Drosophila melanogaster: one gene and its partner. The protein of the gene in region 1 interacts with the protein of each later gene in a pairwise test. Each region holds a gene or a part of one and is shown in the gene's direction. Other genes may lie near its edges.

Region 1 (5,410 bases):
CCTCAAGCAGAAAATCCACAGTGGCCAGCGACTCTTCGTACGGGTGCTGCAGCTCAACCGTGATTTGATTAAATGAAACGGCGGTTACCTCCAGTATCACAGTGCTGTCCATATCTGGGACGAATGAGCATAAAAAAAATATTATTATCATAAAACAGGAATGTGGGGGGAAGTGGAGCACCCAACTCACCATTATACTGCTTCTGCTGCTCACGAACACAGCTTGCGAGCAGGGTGTAGAAGAGAGCTTGTTTCTTGAGGAACGCCACGATTCGCGGAACCTGGGCGGGTTCAGTGAAGGGCAGTGATGACACCAGAGTTCCCTGCAGTTTGCGGTTGTCGGTAAAGAAATAGCAGTGCGTCTCTTTAGGTAAATTCACATACAGGCCGCGCTGTGTGTTCTTAATGGCCTGCTTCGATGCAGTTTGTACTATGAGATTAAGCACTGTGGTGGGCGGACCAGGAGGAGTGGCAACTGAGTCTAGACCGGGCAGACCGAGAGCCTTTAGTGATTCCAGGCAAACAGGCATGGGTTTGTTCAGCCGAAGCACAAACGTGGCCGGCATCAGCAGCGAGTTGTTCTGGTTAAGTTGGGCATAGGTGGGAACCTCCAACCCCGTTTGGGCATCGCGGACCAAAGTCACCGTTGGCAAAGTCTGCAGTTTGTTGGCTGATGAGCCTTCGAGATTGATAGTGGCACTCAGTCCGTAGCTGCTTCGCATTACCTGGTCGATGGTGAAATCGCCGCTGGCCAGTTTGGGATCCCCTTCGGGAAGGTGGAGCGGCGGGCAGAAATAAGTAAGCCTCATAGGATGGCCACCGCGACGGGGCAGCACAAGACCCACCGATGAACTTGTCATAAGTGAGTAGCTGTCTCCGGAGTGACCTTGCAGGTGCAGTTGGTATAGGCTCTGGATATCCGTCTCCATGGCCTGAAGCGCTACAAACGCCTTCTTTTTCACCTTGGGCTCGGCATTCAGCTGGTAAATGGAGGACAGACCCTCGAGTTGAACCGTAAAGTCTGCAAAGTCGCCAGACTTGAGGCAGGCCACTAGCTCGCTGGACTGTTGCTCGATCTTGCACTCGTGGTGCACCTTGACGTCCGACAGACTGCCGGCGGCGTCCAGCAGGATCTCTACGTAGAACATGTCCGTTGATATGAAGAGAAGCTGCTGGTCCTCCATGAACTTGAGGCCCAACTGGCGCGAGAGGCTCTCCAAACGCTCCACAAGGCCGTGGCGTGACGTGACCTTGATGTAGTGCTGCAACTTGTCCAGCGCCGACTGCAGCGTGGCCTTGCACAGGGGGTCCAGAGGGTAGTGCTTCTCGATAAAGTACATACGCACCGACTTCTTGATCTCCTCGTAGCTCTTTGGCTTGTTCCGGTACTTGGCCCGCAGCTTCTCCATCATGGTTTCCTGCTGGATCTGCTTGTTCTTTTCCTCGATGCTGGGAATGTGGCTGCCGAAGCCTGTGCAGATTTGTGTCAGTGGTGCTCCGGACATCTTAGTTATGGGGGTATATATTAGTACTTACCAGTCCCCGAGGACTTTGCATTGGATCCGCTCATATCTATGCGTTCCTAAGTAAACTGTATTTACTTAATGATGCTGTGGCATTTTTGACAAAGAATTGCGGCAAATGAAAAAGTTCTCGATCTAAATAGCTCAGAACCTTTTTTCTATGCCTTCATCATGGCAAAAAAATTTCAACGCCAAAACAACAAAATGGCTGATCCTTCACAGTGGCTGGTCACGCTATAATAAAATACTGGAATATAAAACGGAACTATGATATTTCCACTGCGTCATTTGATATTCGATGTATTCTGATTCAAAGCTTGTATCAATTGCCTGTTCAATTATGTATGTTATATTTTTTAGTATGAGGGGTAAATATAATGAAGCAATTAACATCTATATTCTATACATCCTTCTGGTACTTTTACATTCTATTTTTTATGATGTAATTGTGCCTCATTTCCTACTCGAATTTTCTCTTAAGCTACAAGGGTATTGTAATGAACAGAAAAGCTCAAACATTCTTTCGTTAAAAAATAAATTACAGGCCTCATAATTTAATACCGATGATTTAATATTTATTTAAAATTTCCAATGATTTCTAAATGTCTTATTGGCATAAAGTTTAATTTGGGGTTTCTGTTCCAAGAAACCGAAAATGATTATTTAAAGTTTCTTGAGATTTGAAAGAAACTATAATCCTATAAAAATAAATATCAGCTAAAAAAAACTTTAAGGACTAATCAAATAAGTAAACAAATACAGCTTACGACTTAAACAAATTTTATTTCGCTAAATTCATGATAAGTCTTAAGCGTTCCTCTCTTCCTCGTACTTACCTAAACTACGACAGATATACGGATTATATTGAATATAGGTTTGGTCCGACAAATCAAAAGTAGTCATAACCTTTACTAAAGGTAGATGTTATATTTCATAGAAAATTGCAAAAGCTTAAATTCAAATTTTATTAAACATTTAAAGTATTTCAAATTTCTGTTTTCTCTAAATTATTTTGGTATATTTATTATCATCAAAGTGCAGAGCGATATTTGTATGCATGCGCGGTCACATTGAGCGTAAATGATAAATATTTGTTATTAAAGTGTTTCGGAACCAAAGGTTAACAATTCAGCCACATGACGTCCATTGCGGGAGGCCACGGCGAGGCGAATCCAAACAGCTCCTGGCTGAGTGCCCGGGGATTTTGGCTAGCATACCTCCTGGGCCTGCTGTCGGTGCACCTGCTCTTCTTATCAGTGCCCTTCGTTAGCATTCCATGGGCCTGGACGGCTACCAACCTGCTTCACAATGCAGTGAGTGCTCATGGCGCCGTTGAGGAGTCAGTCCTTATCCTAATCCCTCTTGCCAGGCCCACCTGTACTTTCTGCACGTCATCAAGGGCGCTCCCTGGCTGAGCACGGAGAACGATCCCAGCCGGCGTTGGACGCACTGGGAACAGATCGATGACGGGGTACAGATGACCACAACGCGCAAGTTCCTCACAGCTGTTCCCATTGTTCTGTAAGTGAATACGTACTGAAAGTCGGCCAATATAGGTGGGTTTTTATTTAAAAAAATTAAAACTAAATGAAGACTTAAATTCTAAACTTGTTTTAATGTTGATCAAAGTATTTCAATAAATACTTTTTATGTACTGCAGTTTAATTGAACTAGTAATGTAATTGCTACCATATAATGCCTAACATAGAAACTCATGAAATAATTGATTTTTTTATAGTTTCCTACTTACCTGTCTGTACACCCGAAACAACACGGAACACTTTATCCCAAACTTTATATCCCTGGTGGTCGTCACGCTTCCCAAGCTGCCGCAGTTCCACGGCGTGCGGCTGTTCAACATTAACAAGTACTAGCTCCTGTGAGAACGGGCCGCATTTATTTTGTTTAATGAAAATGTACATACAAACTTATATTGATGGCACAGCTCTTGCTCAAAAATGTAAATATTGCTAAATAAAATATTTATCAAATTAAATAATTCTAAAAATCGCGTTTCGATTTTTATTGCATAAATAATTATTGATCATGGAAACTACAAATCATCTAAAAGATGTATTTGGGGGCCAGCACATGAGATATTTTATAACCCATTATGTCAGACGATTAAGTAGAACCATGATGTAGTTCTTTAGCCCAAAGGATTAAACTTGATCAATCGCTGTACACAGAAGTCTTCGTAGTGACGAAAAGCACAGTGAGTGGGGTGCGTAAGTATAGTACATATATAAGCCGAAAGATTGAAAACATGAAAGAAAAACCCGTTAACTGATTTTTTCTGTTAAATATTCTTAAATATAATCATACAACATACAAAAGTACTGCTATCAACTTAAGTGGCGAAAAATGATTATAGACATACTATACAGATACAATGCAAACACTCGCCGCAAACAAGCAAACAACAACAAACAAAAAGCTTTTTCTGTTTTATGAGCTCTCGAGAAAGTCGCGCCCCTGAAAAACTATTCTAAATTCCAGTCAAGTGGCGATTACAGGACAGCTTATCTCTCATTATTGTGGGCGGTAAAATGCGGGGGATGGGCAATCGACTTCTGACAAGCTGATTGCCCGGTTTGACTTTGAGGGAGAAGCTCGCGACCCGAACGACTTTGGCAATTCATAATAACAGAGGTGTGCCGGATCGGAGTATGCCTGATACCCAGGCAGTTGCTGTCAGCCGTTTCAAGGGGAAGGAACGACACCGAGACGCGCCGAGATGTCGATTACCCTAGAGGAGGAAATCTTCGGCTTGGCCGTGAATCCGTTCACCAAGTCGCCCGAAATGGTGCGCCGGTACACGCTTAAGAACTCCAAGGGCATGACCGTGTCAGTGATCCAACTGGGGGCCATCATCCAGAGCGTCTGCTTGCCGGACGCCTACAAGAAGGTGGATGATGTGTGCCTCGGCTTCGACGACATCGCCAGTTACTTGGCCAACAAGGGAGCCTACATCGGTGGGACCCTCGGACGAGTGGCCAACCGGGTGGCCAATGGCGAGTATACGTTTAACGACACGAAAGTCTCGGTGACAAAAAATATCCAGGTAAATATTTCACAAGTGACCGATTTTTGAATACTATTTGAGATGAGGATTTTTGACACTTGTTTTGGCAAGAGAACTTAGTGTTAGAAGTTTTTTGATTGGTATACTTGTTGTACTTGTACTTGTTGTAAAGTATCAGGTAGAGGAAAGCGATTCCGACCCTATAAGTGGATTTGCAATCAAGGTCACTTGCCAAGTCGACCTGGTTTATTAGTTGAGATAAGGCATGCATATTATAGTGACGAATACAAATACATATATTCAAGTTTGTCTCAGATGAAAAAAGACCCGATATCGGCTGTGCTCAGCGTACTCGGCGACACAATCATTCTTATTTTTTTTTTTTTTTTTTACTTTGCTTTTATTTATTGAATCTTCTTGTATAAGAACTAACAATAAGTTTAAAAATCTTAACTATAACAAGTATTTTTTGAACAGTTGTATTATTTTTCCAACTGTTCTATGTTTAAACGGCCCTAATAATTTATTCGCTGGGTTGGTAGGTCCTTTCGCCGGAGACGGGAACGGCTGCTGAGCTGGATTAGACCTCGCGCTAGGTGGTTGGGGTGCGTGTGAAGCTTGCTATGGTATTTTTCCTTAAGTAATCCTTAAGTTAATCATTCTTATGAGAAGAATACTTTTTGATTTCGACACGAAAAAGAGGCTGAAAAAGATTCGATTTTAGCTAGATTTTGAGATCAAAATTCTCAAATCGAGACCTTTGAGAACGGGGGTTTCTTTAAGTGATTGATATTTATAGTATTTATACAAATGTATAGTATTTCTAGTTTAAGCAAATATAGAATATGAAATATAGCAATCG
Region 2 (10,348 bases), on another chromosome or scaffold:
TCGACGGTGTACCGTTGGAAAAAGAAACCAAATCTACGGCTAAGTTGCCTGGCTTCATACCCTCAAAGTGGGAGACAGTTGATCCCCAGCAAGTAGAAGCGCAGGCGATTACCACCAGCAAATGGGACACTCTCGATCCGCCAGATCCACCGAAGTTCTTTAGCTCGGACGACGACAGTGGAGAAGACAATCCGCAAAAGTACACCGACGAGATGCGTCAGAAGTTAAGAGACATTGAGTCGAAAGCAATTCAGTACCAGGACGAACTGGAGTCCGGAAAGCGCCGCCTGGAACCAGGTTGGAGTGTCCCCGAACAAGTGGAACAATTCCGGAAGCGATTACTTAAACAGGTAAGATTTGTAACATACAGTAAGTCGGATGTAACAACTGAATTCTTTGCGAACGAACAGGACTCGCGATCTGAGGCAACTGTAGACTCCCCGCTCAGCTACATGCACATAAAATCCAAGAGCTCCAAGGTGAGTGAGAGTCCAGCGCTGTTCAGAAGCAGTTCCCGCAAACGATCCCACTCGCCGTTCTCTGGTGGCGAATCCAAACGACGTGACTATTCACCCGAAACCTCGCGCTCATCCAAATCCTCGAAACGCAATCGGTCGCGTAGTCCGTCCAGTTCACCGAAGCGGTATACAGAGCGGTCGTCTCGCAGCTCCCGCTACGAAACTCCTGCCTCCGGATCGTCGCGATCACGCAGTTCTCCAACCTCCTCGCGCTCCTCTCGCAGAGAAGAGCCATCGCCGCCGAGACATCGCAGCGACAAGCACAAGCACAAACATAGGCACTAGAGTGTCTGCTCTTCGGACGATTTGTATTTAATTAAACATGGATTCTACATAAAAACACTTTCGTCGTTTGTTTTAAATACACAGTATATATAATTTTAAATCTAAATCGTTTGTTAGGAAGTGGGACACACGCAAAACAGACGGCCCAGGCAGTTCGATTCCGCTCTGCGAATTTGTCTAAAAACATGAATCTAAGCAAGCTATCTTAAAATGGTTACGTTTTGTTAAGGAAAGCCGGCCAACCAACACCAGTCCTCGAACCGCCTGAGCCTGGTCATATAAGCAGTGGTGATTATCATAAGGTGAATACATAGATGTGGCTTAAAAGTAGATGCGAACAGCCTCCTCGGCATTCTGCTCCACGGGGCAGTAGGGGCACTTCAGTATGTGGCCAACACTCAGCTTGTGCAGGGCGTCGTTGGATATGACATGACCGCAGGTCAACTTCTTCGGCGGATTGTCCTCGGAAGTCTGCTGGCGCAATATGGGGCAGGCAAAGATCGAGTGGAATCGGAATTCCGGCTGCAGATCGATCTCAATGGGCAACTCGTCGCAGCCGTTCCACATGCCAAGGACTTGGCGCGACTGCATCACCTGCTTGATATTGAGCAAGGCGGGCAGGGCAGTGCATCCGGCATTGACCACAACAGACAGGGCGGAGTTCTTGCTAATGCCTAGCAGTTGGCATGCGTCTTTGAGGAATATGAACGACAGTTCGGTCCACTTCTCCTGGCCCAAGAAGTGCTTGTAAGGCGAGTTCTCCAGTCCACTGGGCAGATATATAAAGCTGGCCATCAAGTTGGCTATTTCGTGCTCATAGCGCACAGCAAACTTCTTGAAGTTCAGTCGAGCGTAGGAGATGGCCTCGCGCTGCGAGTCCAATCCGTAGGAGACCAGCTGCATGAAACGCATGCGGTGCAGCCGGAACTCTATGAGCGAGTGGCGGTCACTCAGCTGCTGGGAGTACATCTTTGCCCACTTGAGGGCGTCAGTCAGATCCCGCTTTTGGATCTTCACCCAAATGCCGTAGATGTCGGCAAACTCGCGCTCCGAGTCGAACACATCCTGGGCATGCTCCGGCGACATCTTGCACTCGCGGATTAGCGTGCGAGCCACATCGTCCATGCCCTGGCGACAATAATGCTTGGCAATGGCCTTGTTCAGCAACATCAGGTTCTCCTCGTCCTGCAGCACGTCCACTCGCATGGTGGACGAGAAGTCGGCGCTAAAGTTGCGGTCAATGGCCTTGCCGATCTTCGAAATGGAGCCGTGCAGATCGCGGTGCTCCGTGGACAGTTTTTGCACGCGCTCGTGGCACCTGGCGAGAGCATTCCGGACGCTCTCCACTTGGCGCTCGGTTAGGCGTTGTGGTGCCGTCGGTTCCGTCTCCACCTGCATGCTCACCGCATCGCCCATGGGATCGTCCTGGGACACCTGGGTGCTCGAGTTCAGAGTGGTCACCAGCTGCTCCGCCCTGCTGAGAACCTCTACCAGCTCCGACATCTGTGTGGCTATATCTCCGATGTCCGCCTCTGCGTTCTCGTGAAGCTGCTCCAGTTTGCTGACCACTCGGGTCAGGTCCTTCTCCACCGACGAACAGGCCAACGACTCGCTGTCCATTGTTAGCTCCAGTTTCGTGGGGTGAAAGCCTAGAAACCAGTCACGCCAGGCGCGCGTTCACTTTCGATTTTACAACCTTTTGCTTTCGAGGATTGATAGCACTGTGATTCTTCAAAGTCACGACGATATTCGGTGGTCCAGCGGAAAATGCGTATTTATAAATTGTTAATTTTATAACACAAAGAAGACGAAAACATTGGAGCTGGGTGGACCACTCACGATGCTATCGATAAATCGAATAATTTTAATTTCGATAAAGGGCAACAGTGCTGAGCGAATTAATATTTGTATATTCCGCATTTTACGTATTACCGTTATATTGGATCCTTAGTTGATCCTTAGTTATATATAGTTAGTCTAGTTTAACATCATAATAATGCATAATAAAGTAACCATTTTACGAACCAAATATATATTTGACCTTTATATATTAATAATAATGTGATTCCATTTAAAACAATTACAAATATACAAAAATTTATTAAATCCCATAAGCCTTCTATCAGTGTAAAGGATCCGTTAACTTTAAACGATAGAAAAGTATCGATAGCACTCGCATGCATCGATTGACAGCCAATGCTGCCCATCTCCGTTCGGTCGACTGAAAAATCAATTATTATTGCTGCTGCTTTCTGGCAGAGAAACTTATAACGACAAACAAACAGTTTGAAATTAGCGTAATTAGATAAGAAAACGAACTTTGAAACCAAAGGTGTTAGTCTTTAAAAACGAAACTGATAATTATTTAAAAGGTACCTCAGAACACGAGAGCAATTCCAAGGACAAAATCTCCACACTTTGAATTCATAATTTTTAAAAATAAGTGATGAGTCTTAAGCCGAACGGCATTGAACCCAAATTACAAATGCTGTGCCTCCAAAAATAAAAGCGCAGAGAGCTCGAAAAACGTTTTCCAAATTAATGTAGACAGTGACAAGAAGAGGGAAATTTTTAAAATAAAAGTGGTGGAAATAAGAAGATGCTGTGCAAATAACAGACGTGCATAGTAAAAACAATTTTACTTTCGCCACTTTTCAGTCAGTGCGCTTGAAAGCGAAATGGAAAACGGTCGGAAAACTCATAGCACTTGGCAGTGTGTGTGTGCGTGTGTGATAACAAGAGCGAAGAAGCTGCGAAATGAAAAATATGAAAACACGAAATTTCGCACACAGTGCTGGTCAGCAAAACAGCAGCAATAGCTCAAAAAATTAAATTTAAAATTATATTATAAAATTTTTTTGCTGAAATATTTCAAATTAAGTTTGCCCAATTTCCCAAGCAGTTATATGTATTTTGATTTAAAATCTATTTCCGAAATGAATTAGAGAGCATTAATGTTATGTCGGCTGCTGTAGCGTAGCTCTCGGAAATTCCCGGTGCAGGCCCAAGCTGCAAATCACTTGTCTCATCAAAAATAAAGGAAAATAATGGCCGACGACGATTATGGGGAAAAGCGCGCCCGAATGGTGTGTCGGGTCTTCAGATCTGATCTGCCGAAAATTCGCTAATAGTTTCAAAAATTTGCCTGGCCAGTTCGGGAACAACATTCGAACTTTGCGTAAGCAGTCGCTCTGTCCAGTTTTCTGTTTTCATTTTTTTTCGAACCCTTGGTCGTTCAAAAACCGTTTTCCAAAAGCGATACGAAAGCATTTTCTTTTGGAGAAACGTTCAATATTATTTATGCGGTCGTTAATTGTGATTTGTGCGGTGGGAAAAGTGAAAATAATAAAGAATTATTAGACGGGCCGAAAAGAGCGAATTGCGCGAGCTAAAAATAAAAAAGATCGGGACCGCTATTTATGTAATAAACTTTTTTGTTTTCCCGCAACAATATTCAAACGTATACAGCATTTTGCGCTGCGATTCGTGACCGATCAGTGATGTGAATACAACTCCAACGAAAGCCGGAATCAGCGAACTGTAGCGTGTAACCGATTATGCATCTATGTATCTTTCAGATAATGCTTTAAACGTACAGCAAATCAACCATTAGCCAGCCAAAATGAGCCAATGCCAAAGTTAAACAGCAACTAGAAACACAGCGCATAGTCAACAGCTCGCAGGGAGCCATCAACGAACCAAATCGATCAGGAACACATAGCAGAGTTGCCTTAGGGACTAGCTTTAACCACGAACCCATAGCCAAACGAATCCAGATAGCCCACGGAATCCGCTACCAAGCCAAAATGCCCGCTACAGCCACATCCAAGCCGAGAGCTCCGCTCGTCGAGGAGGGCATGACGCCCAAGAAGACCGCCCTGATCATCGTAACCGTGATCGGATGCATTGCCATCCTGTGGCCAAAGGTCTTCCATCCCATGATGTTCGGAGGAGTGCCTCCAAGCCAGCCAAACTTCAAGGATCCACGAGCAGCACCAGGCGGTAAGTCATCAGATTCTATTCACCACATTAGGAGCTAGGGCTTATAAATGTTGTACTTTACTTAATTTCATTTATCATTTATTATTTATGAATTATCATCATGATTTTCTTTTGATTTCCGTATGTGGGTGTTGTTGTTGTCCGGTCGATGTTGTAGGATGTTGTGATGTCGTCCTGGACAGGGAGCAGTTTCTGAATGCCACGAAGAAGGACACTGTCGAGCCCTTCGGTCCGCATTTGTATCGCAAGCAAATCAATGTTTACACGGGCGAAATAAGTATGTGGCTCGATTATTTATAATTTGCTTATTGGTTTTACTAACGGTGTTTGGCTCTACTAACAAGATTGTATCTACATGAAACAATCGATTGAGATACATTTAGATTCCTAACCTTTACGGTATTAATGAGTTTATTAATGTTTGGGTTTCTAAAATGTAGTGTTTATGTCAATTAAAAATTTGATAGTTTAATTGTGTTACTAATGAATCCATTGTGGTCGCAGGTCTGCGCCAGGAGCGTCCCGCCCACCTGCATCCGGAATCCATATACCAGGCCATGAGGGAGCGGGGTCGCGCCATTCCCGCCACGCCCACCGTGCCGATTCTAGAACGAAAGACTTCGCCCAGTAATCCGCCTCCGCGGATTGTCGACGGACGGGTGAGTTGGGCTACTATACATTTAACCATACGGTGTGCATTATTCTCCGGACGATAAATCCATAATTATAATATATATAGTTATACTGGTCGGCGGGCTGTGGTCGATGTGATTATAATGACGGCGGGATGAGACATATCCGCGCTCGCGTTGGAAGTCATTTATAAATAGCCAAACGTTTATTTTATTCGGATTCGGGTTTTGTTTTTATGACACTGCACGCAAATTGAAGGCAAGAGACAGCGCTAAAGAAAACACAAAAAAAGAATTTGTAAATGATGAGTGGGAGATCGGCCGAATGTGCTGCTGCGTATTGAACTTGTGCCAAATTCAGTGCGCCAGTTCCATTTTGCTCTCATCGCTACTAGAATGCTAGAATGGCCGGGGAGCACAAATCAGCTGTCCTCGCCTCATGTCAAAATACAACGGGGCGGATACGTAATTTTAATGATTACATGGGTTGTCAATAAAACACAATCGATTCCCTTCTCCTACAAAGACATCAATTCAAAAGATTTCGAAGACAACTGTCTTGAGTAATCTTTATGTCAATATACATCGCGGCGGATACGTAATTTTTATGATTACATAGGACAATAGAATATACATATTCGATCAGTTCAAAAATATCTAAAGACAATTGACTTAAGAAACCACCGGGGCGTATACCTGATACATTTAATATGACCTTGATTGTTGGCGGCATTCTATTGTATTTCAGTAACTTTTGACATATGTATGTACTTTCTAGCCTGGACCCATTCCTGGAATGCGTCCACCCATGGGCGCCGGTGCACTGCATCAGCCACAACAGCGGGGCAGCAGCATGGGCTTCCTAATGCCACTCTACACCATTGGCATCGTAGTCTTCTTCGGCTACACCCTAATGAAGGTGACTCTCTTTGATCGTATATATGTAATTATAATACTATAAAACTCTTACATGCAGATTATGTTCAAGAAGCAAGTTCCCAATGATCCGTACGGAGCGGCGCCTCCAAATCCTGCCTTCCGGCAGGAGGTCTTCGGATCACAGAACCACAGCCAGGTGGAGGATTTGGGCGGCAGCAAACTGGGTGAGTGCCAGGCCAATTCGGATGCCATCTTCCGGATTATTACACTCGTAGTTGGACACACACACACACAATCGCTCTAGCCACCGCACTCACGATTCAATCCTAACCGAAAAAAAATCGCATTTTGTACTCTTCTGCTTCCAAAAAAACCCATGCACACCGAAAATCATGCCACGGTATCAGGCTGGCGAGAGCATCAGACAAGTAAGCCAGATATATATAGATGGTTGCATAGATGACCATAGAGTTTCGTTCGTATCTTGAGTTTCTAGACCTCGACAAAGGCCTTTTGAGTTTTGAAATATGTCCTCCTCATTTGGTATCGTAGTATCGTAGCGACTATGTGTTCTATTTCATTTACCTAGATGTACTCATTCTAGATGTTGTGTGCCTATATACTATTTATAAATATATATATATACTAACCCCGAATTGATCACGCTTCCATGGATATATACATTTATTTTGTTGCCACTCCTGCACCCGTGTAAATACTCCTTAGTTTCGTTAGTCCCTCGATTGATTCGATTTCCGGCCCTGATTACCAAACCGTACGACAATTTTATAGGAGCTGCCACCGCCACTGCCGCCGCAAAGAAGCCGGCCGCCAAGGACACCGAAAAGGAGCTGTACAACGCCAGTGTGTCGGCCACCGAGGTGGCGAGCAGTTTGTCCGCCTCTCTGAAGAGCCACCAGCAGCTGAAGGAGGCCGAGCAGCTGATGGAGATCGAGAAGCTGCGCCAGAAACTCGAGAGCACGGAGCGGGCGATGGCCCAGTTGGTGGCCGAAATGAACACCGATCAGTATGAGGCAAAGGTTAGCATCCAGCATCCAGTATCCAGTAGCTTCCTACCATCGTCATCGAATCGGAAAAAAGCAGATACAGATACAGATATAGCTATACAACGCGACTCAGATACATCTAGTAGCACATCATATATCGTAGTGATTTCAGTTGGACCATCTCGCTGTCATTTGAATTAATATTTGATCTCTTTTGTGTTCTCATTTTCAAGATGATTGCCCTCAAGTTTCTCAAGCGGCAGCCAAACTTCTAAGACAATAATAACCATCATTCAGTTCACATAGAATCAGTCAGTAAAACAGACCAAAATCAGACCAACAACAACTCAGATCACAACTAAGTACAACGAACAAAGTCAACTAGATTATTTCTGTTTTCAATTGGTTTCTAGTGAATAGCTGAATCCTCGGAATGGTTTCTTTTACCCCCCTGCCACATCCTCCCCCCCAAAAAAAGCCTTCAGTTCTAAAACTATGTCACTCTGTCCTTAATCTTCAAGTCTAACAAGTGCATGGAACGGAATTCTCCCGACTCTGTTTCTAATTTAACCTGCTTGTCTGCTGTCGGCATGCGATATATGCATATATATATATATATATAAACATATCTTTTCACATACTCGTATCTACTAACGAACCCAGTCTAAATGTGTTTGCATCTCACTGAGTACTCTCGATCTGAACTAAACTAAACTCTTATGATGGGGACATATTTTACGATTCAAAGCAGTCTTATTCGAAATCTATTCGAACACTATACGTAACTTTACATTGCCAATAAAGATAATCGCAAACATCATTTCATACTCAGAGCTACAAAGAAACAACTATATAAATATTCACTCTCTGTGTCGTTTCTACGTTTTTCATGTTTCTCGCAAAAACACAAAAAAAAAAATGAATGTAAATCCCAAATTGATACCCTGTACTTTCATGGGGCTAGTTGTTACGGCCATACAAGGTTTGATAGACGCGGCCGACGAGCAATTGAATGGCCAAGACAAGCAGAGGGCGACGAGCGACACTGAAACTGATTCGAATAAGGTTAGAGACCTTCAAAGGGTCCGGCACGGCAATCCTTGAACATATAATTTGTAACAAGAACTTAATCTTTTTGTTTATTAACCAAGATCCTTCGACTAATTGAGTTTTGTTGCGTTTCACCTAACCACAACGAATTGAAGTAATTAATGCGTTCGATTTCTGATTTCTTGCGTTTTGAGGCTGTATAGAATTGCTTAGCTCTCACATTCTACTGACTGTTTCGAGAGTGTCCTCTCTAACCGTATTATATCCTGTGTATCCTGTGCAGAAAAACGACAACGAAAAAACGAGGGAGCAACCACTAGACAAGCAGAACCTATCCAATGGACATGCAAGCAGCACCGACCAAAATCCGGAGCAGGAGACCGTGGCGAAGGGAGCCAGGAAACGGCGGGATCTAAGCGCTGAACAGGAACTGACGGTATGCCATTATATACCCTGTATAGCACCTTTGAGTACGTAGATCTTTGCCGTAAATAATCGAATATTGGTGCAGGTACTCGGCATGGAGTTAACAGCCAGTTGCGAGGGCGGCCACAAGTGGACTGGACGCCCTCCAACGCCTGTTTTCCGAGCGCCAAGCGAACATGTAAGTGCCACTGACGCACAGACCCCCCACCACTTTCAAGTTCTCAACTTAACTAGACTAGTTTCGACTAACTGCTACCCTAACGCTTTCAATATATCCCTACAAAAAAAAGTGATTAAACTGGGATGTTTCCTACGCTCTCAACCTCCTCTGCGCATATGTGTTGAAGCTTTTAAATATGTATATCAGAAATACTAAATAGAATCCCTCTTCGATTTCAGTCCAAATTGGAAGACAACTTGCCGGAGCCGCAGTCCATTTACTTGGAAGGCGCTTTGGCCCATGAGTCCCAGATTTTGGTTGCCGACTCCCAGATCAAACGCGAAGAAGTCTACGACTCGGAGCTCAATGGCTCAGCCGAGGAACCAGCCGTATGGATAAGCCATTCTACTAAACTATATCAATTAATTAACTTAATTAACTTGCAGATCATTCTTAGCAGCAGAATGACATTGTCATTGATTAATTTGGACGCAAATCAACAAAATGGAAATGCAGGCAAATCCGCAGTGGAAAGTCCTCTGGCTGATGACATCGAAATAATTGGACACGACGAGCAGTAGATCGATTTTTATATATATATAATTTGGCAATGAACACGACTTGATTCAGACGAAACTAACTAATTGCAAGGGCCGAGTGAAATTTCGTTGCTAATTTCGTTGAACGACGAACATTATGACTGATTGCCACGAAACAGATTTGCCAATAATTTGATATCTGATTTGTATATATATACATATTGTATGTTTTGATATCTTCGTTTTGATTTTAAAACGCCAACGTTGTGTCTACTCCCTCTAAAGTAAACCTTAAAACTTTATGCTCTTGAAAACCTTAATCATTTTCGGTCAAAACTTAAAGCCAAACTTGCATGTCTAGAAAACTCTTTAGCTCGTTTAGAAAACCGCGTCTTTGTGAACTGCATGATTTTGTGTGAATACTCTTAGTTGAAAGTCAATGCAAAACTAGTCTACCATTAAGCTAAGCGCATATGTATTTCAAGCCGCATCGTCTAATCAAAATCCGTAGCTACTTGGCAATGAAATTACCTTAAAAAAAAATCCAATCGATCGCACGTAAATCGTATGATTAAACAAATAAAGTTAGTGCCACGGCGTTTGTGAACCTAGTATAATGAATAAATTGAAAACCGAACTTGACATCCACATGTGTTTTGAATTTTAAATTAATACATAGTTATAATGAAATTTCATTCCTTAATATTTTCCAATTATAATTTTCTAAAAAATTAGTTTTTCAAACTAACAGTGCTGTAACATTTTGATTAACAGAATGCGCCTTACAGCACAAAGAGTGAATTTTTCCTTCTGCTCGTGTGTATACACTGGCGAACAGCTGTTTTTTGTC

What was found. The genes of interacting proteins can lie anywhere in the genome.
Region 2: the proteins of ORMDL (region 1) and RIC-3 interact in a two-hybrid assay, tested with the Drosophila melanogaster proteins (one large-scale study listed by BioGRID).

The regions. Positions count from the first base shown.
Region 1 is NT_037436.4:21,632,726-21,638,135, forward strand, and holds ORMDL (orosomucoid 1-like), read left to right. Parts: upstream 1-2,579; 5' UTR 2,580-2,659; coding exon 2,660-2,836; intron 2,837-2,892; coding exon 2,893-3,044; intron 3,045-3,261; coding exon 3,262-3,397; 3' UTR 3,398-3,526; downstream 3,527-5,410. Other genes in the region: MED1 (mediator complex subunit 1), read right to left, coding at 1-114, 191-1,471, 1,537-1,570; CG32444 (uncharacterized protein), read left to right, coding at 4,261-4,587. UniProt on the Drosophila melanogaster protein: Negative regulator of sphingolipid synthesis.
Region 2 is NT_033778.4:21,014,778-21,025,125, forward strand, and holds RIC-3 (RIC3 acetylcholine receptor chaperone), read left to right. Parts: upstream 1-3,006; 5' UTR 3,007-3,175; intron 3,176-3,367; exon of another isoform or gene 3,368-3,491; intron 3,492-3,954; exon of another isoform or gene 3,955-3,981; intron 3,982-4,285; exon of another isoform or gene 4,286-4,305; intron 4,306-4,381; 5' UTR 4,382-4,609; coding exon 4,610-4,805; intron 4,806-4,962; coding exon 4,963-5,082; intron 5,083-5,309; coding exon 5,310-5,464; intron 5,465-6,215; coding exon 6,216-6,356; intron 6,357-6,413; coding exon 6,414-6,540; intron 6,541-6,723; coding exon of another isoform or gene 6,724-6,744; intron 6,745-7,108; coding exon 7,109-7,356; intron 7,357-7,556; coding exon of another isoform or gene 7,557-7,598; exon of another isoform or gene 7,599-7,685; intron 7,686-8,287; coding exon of another isoform or gene 8,288-8,388; intron 8,389-8,656; coding exon 8,657-8,809; intron 8,810-8,884; coding exon 8,885-8,977; intron 8,978-9,198; coding exon 9,199-9,348; intron 9,349-9,405; coding exon 9,406-9,540; 3' UTR 9,541-10,141; downstream 10,142-10,348. Other genes in the region: CG9346 (uncharacterized protein), read left to right, coding at 1-350, 411-803; Sou (souji), read right to left, coding at 1,125-2,423.